Daphnia pulex: one gene and its partners. The protein of the gene in region 1 purifies or fractionates together with the protein of each later gene. This does not show direct contact. Links are inferred from orthologs where the notes say so. Each region holds a gene or a part of one and is shown on either strand. Other genes may lie near its edges.

Region 1 (3,752 bases):
GCTGAATCCACTATGAGACATGCGGAGTAATTCCTTTACTGTATCAGTAGTGCGACTTCCATCCCATTTTACATTACTGCACTTAGCAGGCATGTCAGCAGGCAGTGTATTCGTTGCTGGGTCAGTGCTGGTTATGAGGGAATGCTCCTCCTTGACGGGCTCGGATTTCGTTTCTTTGACTGGTTCAGTCGGAAGGGTTGCATCCTTACTTTTACAAGTTTCGTTTGTCAGTTTTGCGTCGACTTGCTTAGTGGAAGGTCCAAATATTTTCCCACTAATGAGACGAATCTTGTTACCCAGTTTTCTTAAAGGTGGTGTGTCCTTAGTAGAGGGTGGATCCATCTCTGTGTCGCTGTAGTAAACCTTCTGTTCACTACGTGTTGGATTAGCTCTTTCTGATTCAGTATCACTCAATGATCGAACGATCCATTTCTGACTGACACTGCCGCTGCTAGTGGTACTGCTGCTGCTGTTGTCCTGCTGAGTGTTATCTGATACTTGCCACTTAGTGGCGACTGTGGGCCCACCGTTACTTGACACTGTAGTTGGTGTCTCAATAGGAGTTGGAGATGGGCTGACTTGCCACTTGGTTTCGGTAGCTTTCAAAACAGCAGATGATGAATGGGTTTCTGTGGTAGCATTGGTTGTGGCAGTTTCTTTCTCTGGTTCTTCATCCGACGATTCGCCATCGTAAGGCACCAAGGCGGTCGGATTTTTAAGTGGGGAGGTTTTTGGAGCAGTTACAGGGACGACGCGTGGTTCTTCCTTGACGGCTGATACGTTAACAGGAGCAACAGTAACAACAGGAGAAGGGGGGAGCGCCGTAGAAGATTTGAATAGTGCCGACCCGTTTCGCATAATCAATCGAGGTTTTGTTAGAAGAGGATCAGCCTTTTTTAGTTCAATTTGGATTTTTGGACGAGAGGGCTCTGAAATTATCGCCGGTCGTGGAATCGGAAGCTTAGGCGAAGGAGCTGGACTGTTAGCTTGGATGTTACTTATTTTAGCCATACTATTAGTAGGAGTAGAAGGAGACGATTGCACTTTCTCGTAGATCAATACATATGCGCCCGTACTCATTGCGACATTAAGTGAGATTAGACGGACGGAGCAATCGTCGAAGAGATACAGTTGTCCATTGCTTGCCTCTGCAATCGCGGTGTAATGACCGCAATGCTGTGATGGACCCATGTGATTGATGAGCGATACAAACTTGTAGGCAACACAGGGTCCACCCGACGACTGATGAAAAAGAAAGCGATTCAAGTTCAGGTTACGACTGAACTGGATGTGCTTGGACATTTTCCCGCCCATGAGTCCAAAACGCTTCAACTGGATGCACAGTACATTCGGGGCGCGCTCAATTGAAAATTTTTTGGTAGCAGGGACCTTGCTCTTGCATTTTTCGCATTTATAAGCATTGTCTCCTTCAAGCCTCTCGCGACGGAAATAATGACCCAAAGCATCATCTAGAGTTGAGGCATGCTGAATATCCAAAGGGATGTCCTACATATAAAGAAGAAAAGAAAAATATTAACTTGCTTTAGAAATAACTATCACCTTTTTAAAAAAAAAAATACCTGAAAATGTTGGAAGGTGGTTGATGTGTGTTTACACTTCAAACAAGTAACCTCAGTTCGTATGTAGCCTCCAAATATCTGCCCGAGAGGGTTAGTCTCTTTACTACGCGAGTCGAGTTTAGTTCCACCGACGCTCTGAAGATACGCCTTTTCCATAGCTTCCATTAAGTATCGCATAAATTCATGGGCATCTTCTTGCCTTCCATGAACTAAATGTTTGCAAATCAGTTTTAGTCTATTGTAGACCAAAATGGGTTTGATAACAGATCCTGATTTGTCGTGCGTAGACTGAAGTGTCTTAGCAATAATACACACAACACAGAGCTGACTTCCATTAGGATCACAGTTTTTACATTGTCTAACACTCGACAGCCAGTTAGACAATGATGGGACGTGGAAAAGTGCCTAAAATTATTTAAAAAAAAAAAAACATTAAATAATGTATGTACATAAAAAAGATTTAATACTTACTTGTAACGTTGAATTCATATAACAAGTATTTCCCATATTTATCATGCCAGCTCCAACTGGTACAGAGCCTTTCCACCCAACTTTCACATCTTCACTTCGAAACAGGGTGACCTTGGGGGCTGGGAGCGAATCTTGAATTGTCACAGGACTTGATCCTACATTTAATATCATTAATTTATGTAACAAACTTATTAATAAGGGAAAGAAGTAACTTGGAACTGATAAAAATACCATTTAGGGATGTGATTTTAGCAGAAAGGCTGGAATTGAGCACAGTATACTTGCTCTTCAATGTGTCCAGCGAAAGTAGTTGTTGTTTAGGAGCAGGTTCATATTCAATGGATGAGAGCAATACTCTCTTGGCAGATGCTGCCAACCGATCCTCGAGTAATTCTGGAGCATTTTCTGTTTCATGCGAGTAAGGACCCTTTTTCCCGCTCAAAGCGGTTCGCAGTACGAGAGCCACCGGATCGGCCACCGAAGCAGGCATAACAAAAATGCACAATGTCAACAAAATGAAACAAATCAAACTAGAGAAACAAATAGCAGTGGATTCAATAATTTTTTCGTCAAAACGTCATGCCCAAAAGTCACAAATTTACTGGTAACACATTTGCTTCGAGAGCAACAACACGTGAACAGGGCCAAGACACGTTCACAGCCGAAATCCTTCGCCATTAAAATGAGGTACCAGTTTGCTATCAACCCTAAACACCCCATCATTGGAATCATTATCTTGAAAATTCGCTTACATTTTGAAAAATTATCATTTACAATCATACAATGTTTGAGAAAATATTCAATAATAAAATATTTTATATGTCAACAATAAAAAATTGTAGGTGTTAATTTTAGAATAAAATAATAACCATGTCATTCCCTAAACACAGAGTTGCTATGGAGACATTAATAGCCATGCTTTCAAACAAACTTCGCCTCAAGACTTATTCATTCCTTTTAAGCAGCCCAACAAAATTTAAAAAATGTCGTATCGAGAAATTACAGGTAAAATAAAGATTTCTGTAAAATCTTTGAGACGATACATGTTTCTTCTTTTTTTTATAATGATTTCTAAAAATTATAGATTTTATTGATAAAATGTGTTTACTCGGTTACCCGCGTTTAATTTCTCGCGAGAATTTCCGATCGACTAATTTCGGATTAGTAGCTGAGATATTGAATTGGTTTTGCCAGCAGTTGGATGTCAACAGTGGAATTAATTTTCTCATAAAAACAGAACAGGAGCGCGTAGTTTTCGTAACATCCGTTGTAAAATTCCTGGTAAAATGCTTTCTTAAACTTATTATTATTAAAATTTTTAATGCCCGTGATATATTTAATACAATAACAACTTTCCTCTTTCAGAATACCAAATTACAAATAAAGCTAAATCCTAAAAGACTTTACCAAGGTAAGTGATTCACGATAAATGTAAACGTAATAGATCTAGTAATTTTTTATGATTATTTGTATCTAGCGGACAATATAGCAGTGAGAGAGCTTCTCAACGTGGCCAATTTTTTTTACGAGGCCTTGCAGCTTGCTCGTAAAGGAGGTGACAATAACGAGCCTTCTCTTTACGGATTTGGTGGTCAAGTAAATTTATTAGATTACCATTACAAGGTTTTAGTATTGACACCGATGTGATTCAAGGCGGAAGATGTTCGTGAAATGCGTCAACTTGCTTCTGAGATTACAACA
Region 2 (3,752 bases), on another chromosome or scaffold:
GATCCACCACCAACACGACGACCAACAATGCCAACCACAAAGAAGATGGCGATCAGCAGCTGGCCAGGGCTTGAAATGAACGAATAAAATGCGCAATCTAGACATTTCCGCCATTTTAAAAATTAATTAAATTGGCCAGGGAAAATCACAAAATTTGAACCCAGTGTACATATGCGTTGTTCTCTCTTTCATTTGTTTAGATGTAGAACAGAATGGGAATTTTTTCTTTTTTAAAATATTTCTGCGCGATTTTTTGCTATCGACTTTTGTTTGTTTTTTAAATCCAATGCGGAAATTTTTGAATTTTTTTTTTGTTTGGTGGGAAAAATTGCCGAAATGTCATTGAGATGTCGCATGAAATTATTACCATGTCTTTTATACTACATGTATTCTCCTGGCAGAGAAAGAAGCCGCCGACGGGCGAGAGAACTTCATTTACATTTTTAGCACATCATATCGAAAAGCAGACAACAAAAAGAAAAGAAAAAAAGAAATATGAAAGATAGAAAAATTTTCAAAAAAGACAAGTTTGTGTGTGTGTGTTTTTTTTTAAATATTTCTTGTGTCTTGTACGCACGGTTCCTCGTAAATGATGTTGTATACACATTTCATGTAACTTCACGACTCGGAAATTTTTAAATTTCTTTTATAACTGTGTGTGTTCGTATACAAGTGCATGTATACTATATTGGTTGATTTTTTTTTAAAGAAAGAAGGAGAAAAATATTATCGAACCCGCCTATATAATCCTTATAGGGATGGAGAGGATTCAAAGTGGTTTTTTTTGTGTGTTGGTTGGTCGGTCAATGACACGCAGAGTTAAAAAAAAAAGAAGAGGATGTGATTTGTGTTCCGATAAGTAATAAGCTGTTACCAAAGGGATAGGCTGAGCTAGTCAAACAGGTTTTTTCTTTAGTCATTCTGCCACTGGGCATTTTACGTCGATAGGCGACATGGAATGATAATTTTTTTTTTTTACTATGTGAATTTTTTACCGCTAGATGGCAGCACGTTTTAACTTTGGAATTTGTTCCTAGATGTCAGCTCAAATAGCAGACGTTTTCTTGAGAGACTTTTCACGACAACACGTGTGAAAAGAAGTACGAAAAGTTGTACGCTTTAAAGTTTATGACAAATTTTGTTTTTTTATAAAAGTAGTTTGCATTTGATCTGTTTACGTTACAGATATTGAAGCTACTGATTCTGAGTGGTAGGTCGTATATTTATTTTCAGTATTTTCGTGTTTTGAATAGCAATGTTTTCAAATGTTAAAAACAGGTTTAAGCATCGTACTTCCTCAAAATGGCTAGGACTGTCCGTAAGACCGATCCGGTCAAAAAGGCCGGACGAAAAGATGGATTTAACCGATCCGGACACAGGTTTGTTATTTGTCACTAATATACTAAATGTTTGCTAATAAAATCTTCTGATGCAGTATGAACCCAGATCGAAAAATTTCTGGTCTGAGGGGAGTGAGCAAGGCAAGAGATAAGGCCACAATCAAACGATTGCAGATGTACCGTAACTTTAAGGCCAAGCGTGATGAATCAGGCAAAGTCATCCGCCCAGCACCTTTTCAATCCAAATTTGCATCTGGTACTGTTGCACGTGTGGAACCTAACCGGCGCTGGTTTGGAAATGTCAGAGTGGTATGTGATCGTAATTACTACTTCACCATTTCTTTGATAGTGATCAAATATCTTAATCTACGTGACTATATTTAGGTTGGCCAATCAGCACTCCAGAAATTCCAAGAAGAACTTGGACAGGCCATCAAGGATCCCTATCAAGTAGTAATGCGTCAGACAAAGCTGCCCATCACTCTGCTGAAGGAATCCTCTAAATTCGCAAGAGTTCACTTGCTGGAAACTGAAAGCTTTGAAAACACTTTTGGCCCCAAGAAACAGCGAAAGCGGCCGAGCCTTGCCACCGGTGACTTGGACAGCTACGTATCCTCAGCCCAAAAATTCGGTGACGGTTACGAAATCGAAAAGGACGGAGCTTTGGTTCGTGATCTGCCAGACGATCGCGAACTGACTCGAGAGTGGATCATGAAGGCTGGCCTCAGCAAACGAATCTGGGGAGAATTGTACAAAGTGATTGACTGCTCGGACGTCATTATCCAGGTATTGAATTATACCAAATCATTTATTTGAGTTCAATTGTACTAAATGTTTAATTTGAAAAGGTTTTGGACGCCCGTGATCCTTTGGGAACTCGATGCAAGCAAGTCGAAGCTTATATCCGTAAAGAAAAAAGCCACAAGCAATTGTTTTTCGTGCTCAACAAGGTAAGCAAAGTCATTCCCAAGATAATTTAGACCCCTGGCCTCATTCCATGCTTCTTTCTAGGTGGATTTGGTACCAACTTGGATTACCCAACGTTGGGTCAAGACGCTCAGCTCCGAGTACCCCACCATGGCCTTCCGTTCTTCGATGACCCATCCCTTTGGTAAAGGTTCGTTGATCAATTTGCTGCGCCAGTTCGGCAAGCTTCACAGCGACAAGAAACAAATCAGCGTGGGTTTCATCGGCTACCCGAATGTTGGAAAATCGTCCGTCATCAATACCCTGCGCAGCAAGAAAGTCTGCAAGGTGGCGCCCATCGCCGGTGAGACCAAAGTCTGGCAGTACATCACGCTGATGCGTCGAATCTTCCTCATCGACTGCCCGGGAGTTGTATTTCCCACCGGAGAGACGGACGAGGAAAAAGTGTTGAAGGTAAACCGATCGCAATTTGATTTACCTGATTGCAAATTCTAATACGATTGCTCTATTCTTTCAGGGTGTCGTTCAAGTGGAAAAGCTGAAAACGCCCGAAGACTTTATTCCAGCTGTGCTGGAACGGGTGAAGAAAGAGTATTTGAGCCGCGTCTACAGGTTGAACGACTGGAAAGATGCCACCGACTTTCTCGACCAGATGGCCCGCCGAACGGGCAGGCTGCTAAAGGGTGGAGAACCGGACAACAACGCCGTGGCCCGAATGGTCTTGAACGATTGGCAGCGAGGCAAATTGCCTTTCTTCGTCGCCCCTGTCAATCCGGATGCGGCCAAAGTGGAGGAGAAAACCGAAGGAGATGCCACAGCCGCCGCTGTTGAAGAGTCGGGAGAGGAGACTGAAAAGGACAAGAAGAAATTCGAGCCCAGATTGGCCCAGGATTTCAGTAAAATTCGGGTGGATCTGAAATACGAAGGTGACGACGTCCAGCCTTTGGAGGCCCAGCCGGACTTCATGGACGACCCTTCGGCCGACGAAGCGGAAGACGATGAAGACGCAGAGGAGAATGTGGCCACCGACAAAGCGACGGAAGAGTCGAAATCGGCTGATGTGTCCAAAGGGGAAGACCACGAAGGTCTCGACGACGAGGAAGACGATTACGAGGATGAGATGGACGAAGAAGAAGAGGAAGATAGCGACGTGGATGCGGCGGCCAAGAAGAAACAAGCCAAGACCCTGAAACTCAAAGCGAGAACCATCACCAAGAGCGGGGCCTTTTCCGTGACGCCCACGTCGCGATCGACCAAGAAAGGAGGCGGCGGTGACGAGGACGACCGACCGGAAAACCCGCGCTGGAAGCTGACTTCGAGAGAGAGGAGAAAGATCGATCGCGATCAGAAAAAGAAGAAGATCGGCACTCACTTTTACGAAGTGGTCAACGTCAAAAACAAGTCGAAGAAGAAGGGTTTCTTGGAGATGGCCAAGGCCTTTAGGGGTCACTGTAAGAAGTAGTGTGGGAGTTGCTTTTGTGATTG
Region 3 (3,752 bases), on another chromosome or scaffold:
TTCAAGAGTGCAGGGCATTTACACACGTATCATCTGCAACTAAAGAAATAAAACATTTGTTTAAAAAACAGCTGTGGTGTTTCTTGTTTAAAAGAACTGAAAGATTATGACCAGGGTCAAACCAAACAGGAAGACGAGGGGGGAGAAAAATTTGTTTTAAAAAATGCACAGAAAATGTTTATAGAGTCATCAACTGCTGGACGTGCACACATAACGGTCGCGTCCATTACCGTAGTACAAAAGACGAGAGAAAAGAAGAACCCGCTTTCGTCAAAATGTCCCGTTTGTTTTGAGAGTCTTAACTTCTTCCCCCCTCCTCCGCTGTAATATCTTTTAGACACATCTCTCTTCCGTTTGAATTATAATTTAAACGGTTCAGTTGTGGATGGAGTTATTTTCAAGTTTCAACAGTCTACCTGCTGTTGTTTTGGAGGGGGGAAAGCTAAGAAGTTCTCTTGTCGGCACATGCTTCGAGTTTTTCACAGTTTGTCGAGATGACAATCGTTATATCAATACGTCTAGCAGGCCGTTATTATGGCGTAGACTATTGTCAGAAAACGTGAAGGAGCGGTTTTTTTTTCAGTTGCCGATAATAACGTCTTTTTTCTGATGGGTGGAAATACATATCTTTAGTCTCTTCTATTTTAGAAAAACACCGCACTCGGGGGAAATTCTTTCCATTGTTGGGCAAGTGGCACGTTTTGGAATGCTCAACTGGAGAAATGGCCGGCATCGTAACGGATGAATACGTAAATAGGTAATTCGGGAAGACTAACAAAAGCCAATCAAGCATTATTTCTTTTTTTGTAAAAAGAAATTGACGATGAGTGGACTTTTATTGGAAATTGTGCAATGCAGCAAATTACCCCCACGTTATTTCCTAGCAGACGAACTAGCACGAATCGACAACGAGTGCAGTTGTCTTGTTCTTGACAAATCAAACAAGTTTCCAATTTTTCTATTTTTTAATTCAAATTTTGACTACTTTTTTGGGATAGTGTGAATCATGATTTATTAAATTCTTGTCGATTCAAATTGTTTTCATTGTGGGAAATTGAGCTGCCGTCGTAGAGTTCCGCACACTTTCGGGCAAACACTTTGACATGAGAATGACTGACTCCTCGTCACAGAATAATAATGACGGTGCTAACGGTTCGCACGGCAAACGTCCTGCTCAGAATAGTGGGAATTCGGGAGCTTCCTTCCCCAAAATAGTTAAGTTTAATGGTAATGCCCACAGACCTCCAGGCAGGGATTCAAACTCTCCCAATAAACGACCTATGCCAGCACACTACTCTAGAGAGGACTTGCTGGCCCAACGGCAGGCCTTACCAATCTACCCAGTTCGCCAAAAGTAATATTTCTTTAGTAAAATTTTGTAATGTGTTTTGTTAATGCATTTTTGTTTGTTTTTAAAGGTTACTTGAAGAACTGAGGAAACATCAAACTTTAATCGTTATTGGAGAAACTGGAAGCGGGAAAACAACACAGATTCCCCAGTACATCTTCACTCATGCAATGACTGAGAATGGAACTATTGCAGTCACTCAGGTTTGTTAATTCTACCCATTTTATGTGGGAAAAGTTTAATTGTAGTGTTTAAATCTTTTACAGCCAAGAAGAGTTGCTGCCATAACTCTTGCCACCAGGGTAGCGCAAGAGATGGGTGCTCAGCTTGGCACAACAGTTGGATACACTGTACGCTTTGAAGACATGTCCAACTTCAAAACCAAAATCAAATTCTTGACAGATGGTATGTTACTCAGAGAGGCCATGCTGGATCCACTCCTGAAGAGATATAGCGTCATCATTCTTGATGAGGCTCACGAAAGGACCATTCACACAGATGTGTTGTTCAGCGTTGTCAAAACTGCCCAGAAACGACGTGCAGAACAAGGAAACAATAAGTTGAAAGTGAGTTTACCTTTTAACTTTATCAGCATTGAATGACATAACATAATTCCATTTCTTAGATTGTGATCATGTCTGCCACTATGGATGTTGACCATTTCAGCCATTATTTCAATAAAGCTTCCGTAGTGTACCTGGAAGGTCGACAGTTTCCTATCCAAGTCTTTCACGCCAAGCAAACTCAAGAAGACTATCTTTTTAGCTCATTGGTGACTCTCTTTCAAATTCATAAAGATGCACCAGCTGAGTAAGAAAACATCTATTTTCAAATTGTCCTATGATCCTGTTTATAATTCTCTTTTGATTTTTGTTTACCTAGTCATCACATTCTAATCTTCTTGACCGGCCAAGAAGAGATTGAAGCTTTCGCCAAAAGTGCTCGTACGATAGCCAAGGTATACAGTTTAATCTAAAAAAATTTTAAAGTAAACAGCTTATTCACGTGGTAAATATTTACTATAGGACCTGCAAGGCAAATATCCAAATTTAAAAGTTTGCCCACTGTTTGCAAACTTACCGCAAAATCAGCAGATGGAGGCGTTCAATAACCCACCGCCAAACACAAGAAAAGTGGTGCTCAGTACAAATATTGCTGAAACTTCTGTCACGATTGATGGTATACGTTACGTTATCGACTGCGGTCGCGTCAAAGCCAGGTAATTTCTACTACACAATCATCATGCTTGGATTTTGTCATTGAATCTTTGTATCAATGATTCAGAACTCACATGCCCGCTACTGGAATGGATATTCTTAGAATACAAAAAATCGCCCAGGCTCAGGCTTGGCAACGGGCTGGTCGAGCTGGTCGACAAGCAGCCGGATTCTGCTATCGTGCCTATACATTGAATGTAACTTTTTAAAAGTTATTTGAGATTTGTGATTAGTTGTAAAATGTTGGTTTATTCAATTAGGATTTTGAGAAAATGGCGCCAAATCCAATACCTGAAATTCAACGTAAGATTTATAAGTAAAAATGCCATAAACACTATATTGACAGAATTTTTGGAAATTCTAGGTTGCAGTTTGACTACTGTTGTGCTTCAACTTCTGGCCTTGGGCGTGCAAGATCCGCTGAATTTTGATTTCATGGATAAACCGCCAACTGAGGTAAGATTCCCTGAAATGTTTGGACTATAGATTGAATTGTGTACGTATTTCATTGAATCTAATCGATTCCACAGCTTATCGAAGGAGCCATGCGGGAACTTCACTTACTGGGCGGGATTCAATCGACAGAGAAACCTGTTTTAACCGAAGTGGGCCAACAGATGGCAGCTTTCCCACTTGATCCACGCTTCACCAAACTGATATTGGCATCGAAAGAGCTCGGATGCACGTAAGTTTTGCCGCTTGATTGGATTCCCGTGCCAGTGATTCAGCAATCAAATCGACCGGTTGCGGTCGTTGTGTTTGTGTCTTTTAATCGCAGGGAGGAAATTGTGAGCATCGTCGCGCTGTTGTCGGCCGATTCGATCATGATCAACGCCACTGCCCAACGGGAACAGGCCAACAACGTCCGTGCTAAATTCGCTTCCTCGGAGGGCGACCATATGACTCTGTTGAACATTTTCCGCGCTTTCAGAACAGCTAAACAGAACCGAGTAGGTGTTGACGAACCCACTAAATTGTGATTTACTGTAACACTGATTGCATTTGTGTCGTCGTTGTAACACGGGCAGAATTGGTGTTTTGAGAACTTCGTCAATTACCGGAACTTGCTGTACGCCGTCGAAGTCCGGAAACAGTTGGCTGAGTTGTGCGAGCGGATGAACATCCCGATGAAATCGTGCAATCCACAGACGGAACCGGTCCGCCGATGCCTTTTATCCGGTCTCTTT

What was found.
Region 2: the proteins of ubiquitin carboxyl-terminal hydrolase 36-like (region 1) and nucleolar GTP-binding protein 2-like purify together in Homo sapiens (affinity purification with mass spectrometry; 3 studies listed by BioGRID and IntAct, with this or other methods). This does not show direct contact. The link is inferred for Daphnia pulex from reciprocal best matches to the Homo sapiens genes USP36 and GNL2.
Region 3: the proteins of ubiquitin carboxyl-terminal hydrolase 36-like (region 1) and ATP-dependent RNA helicase DHX33-like purify together in Homo sapiens (affinity purification with mass spectrometry; 5 studies listed by BioGRID and IntAct, counting the BioPlex papers as one, with this or other methods). This does not show direct contact. The link is inferred for Daphnia pulex from reciprocal best matches to the Homo sapiens genes USP36 and DHX33.

Annotation. Positions count from the first base shown.
Region 1 is NC_060018.1:5,362,742-5,366,493, reverse strand, and holds the start of ubiquitin carboxyl-terminal hydrolase 36-like, read right to left. Parts: upstream 2,742-3,752; 5' UTR 2,542-2,741; coding exon 2,283-2,541; intron 2,207-2,282; coding exon 2,052-2,206; intron 1,986-2,051; coding exon 1,581-1,985; intron 1,507-1,580; coding exon 1-1,506. Other genes in the region: clusterin-associated protein 1-like, read left to right, coding at 3,035-3,056, 3,136-3,332, 3,417-3,462, 3,529-3,647, 3,705-3,752. UniProt on the Homo sapiens protein: Deubiquitinase essential for the regulation of nucleolar structure and function. Required for cell and organism viability.
Region 2 is NC_060028.1:1,711,858-1,715,609, reverse strand, and holds the start of nucleolar GTP-binding protein 2-like, read left to right. Parts: upstream 1-1,059; 5' UTR 1,060-1,210; intron 1,211-1,278; 5' UTR 1,279-1,302; coding exon 1,303-1,379; intron 1,380-1,435; coding exon 1,436-1,649; intron 1,650-1,724; coding exon 1,725-2,126; intron 2,127-2,188; coding exon 2,189-2,290; intron 2,291-2,351; coding exon 2,352-2,720; intron 2,721-2,784; coding exon 2,785-3,729; 3' UTR 3,730-3,752. Other genes in the region: protein trapped in endoderm-1-like, read left to right, coding at 1-74. UniProt on the Homo sapiens protein: GTPase that associates with pre-60S ribosomal subunits in the nucleolus and is required for their nuclear export and maturation.
Region 3 is NC_060023.1:1,400,264-1,404,015, reverse strand, and holds the start of ATP-dependent RNA helicase DHX33-like, read left to right. Parts: upstream 1-872; 5' UTR 873-1,103; coding exon 1,104-1,354; intron 1,355-1,418; coding exon 1,419-1,551; intron 1,552-1,614; coding exon 1,615-1,914; intron 1,915-1,973; coding exon 1,974-2,158; intron 2,159-2,230; coding exon 2,231-2,306; intron 2,307-2,373; coding exon 2,374-2,567; intron 2,568-2,632; coding exon 2,633-2,762; intron 2,763-2,825; coding exon 2,826-2,868; intron 2,869-2,929; coding exon 2,930-3,021; intron 3,022-3,095; coding exon 3,096-3,250; intron 3,251-3,343; coding exon 3,344-3,515; intron 3,516-3,593; coding exon 3,594-3,752. UniProt on the Homo sapiens protein: Implicated in nucleolar organization, ribosome biogenesis, protein synthesis and cytoplasmic dsRNA sensing. Stimulates RNA polymerase I transcription of the 47S precursor rRNA.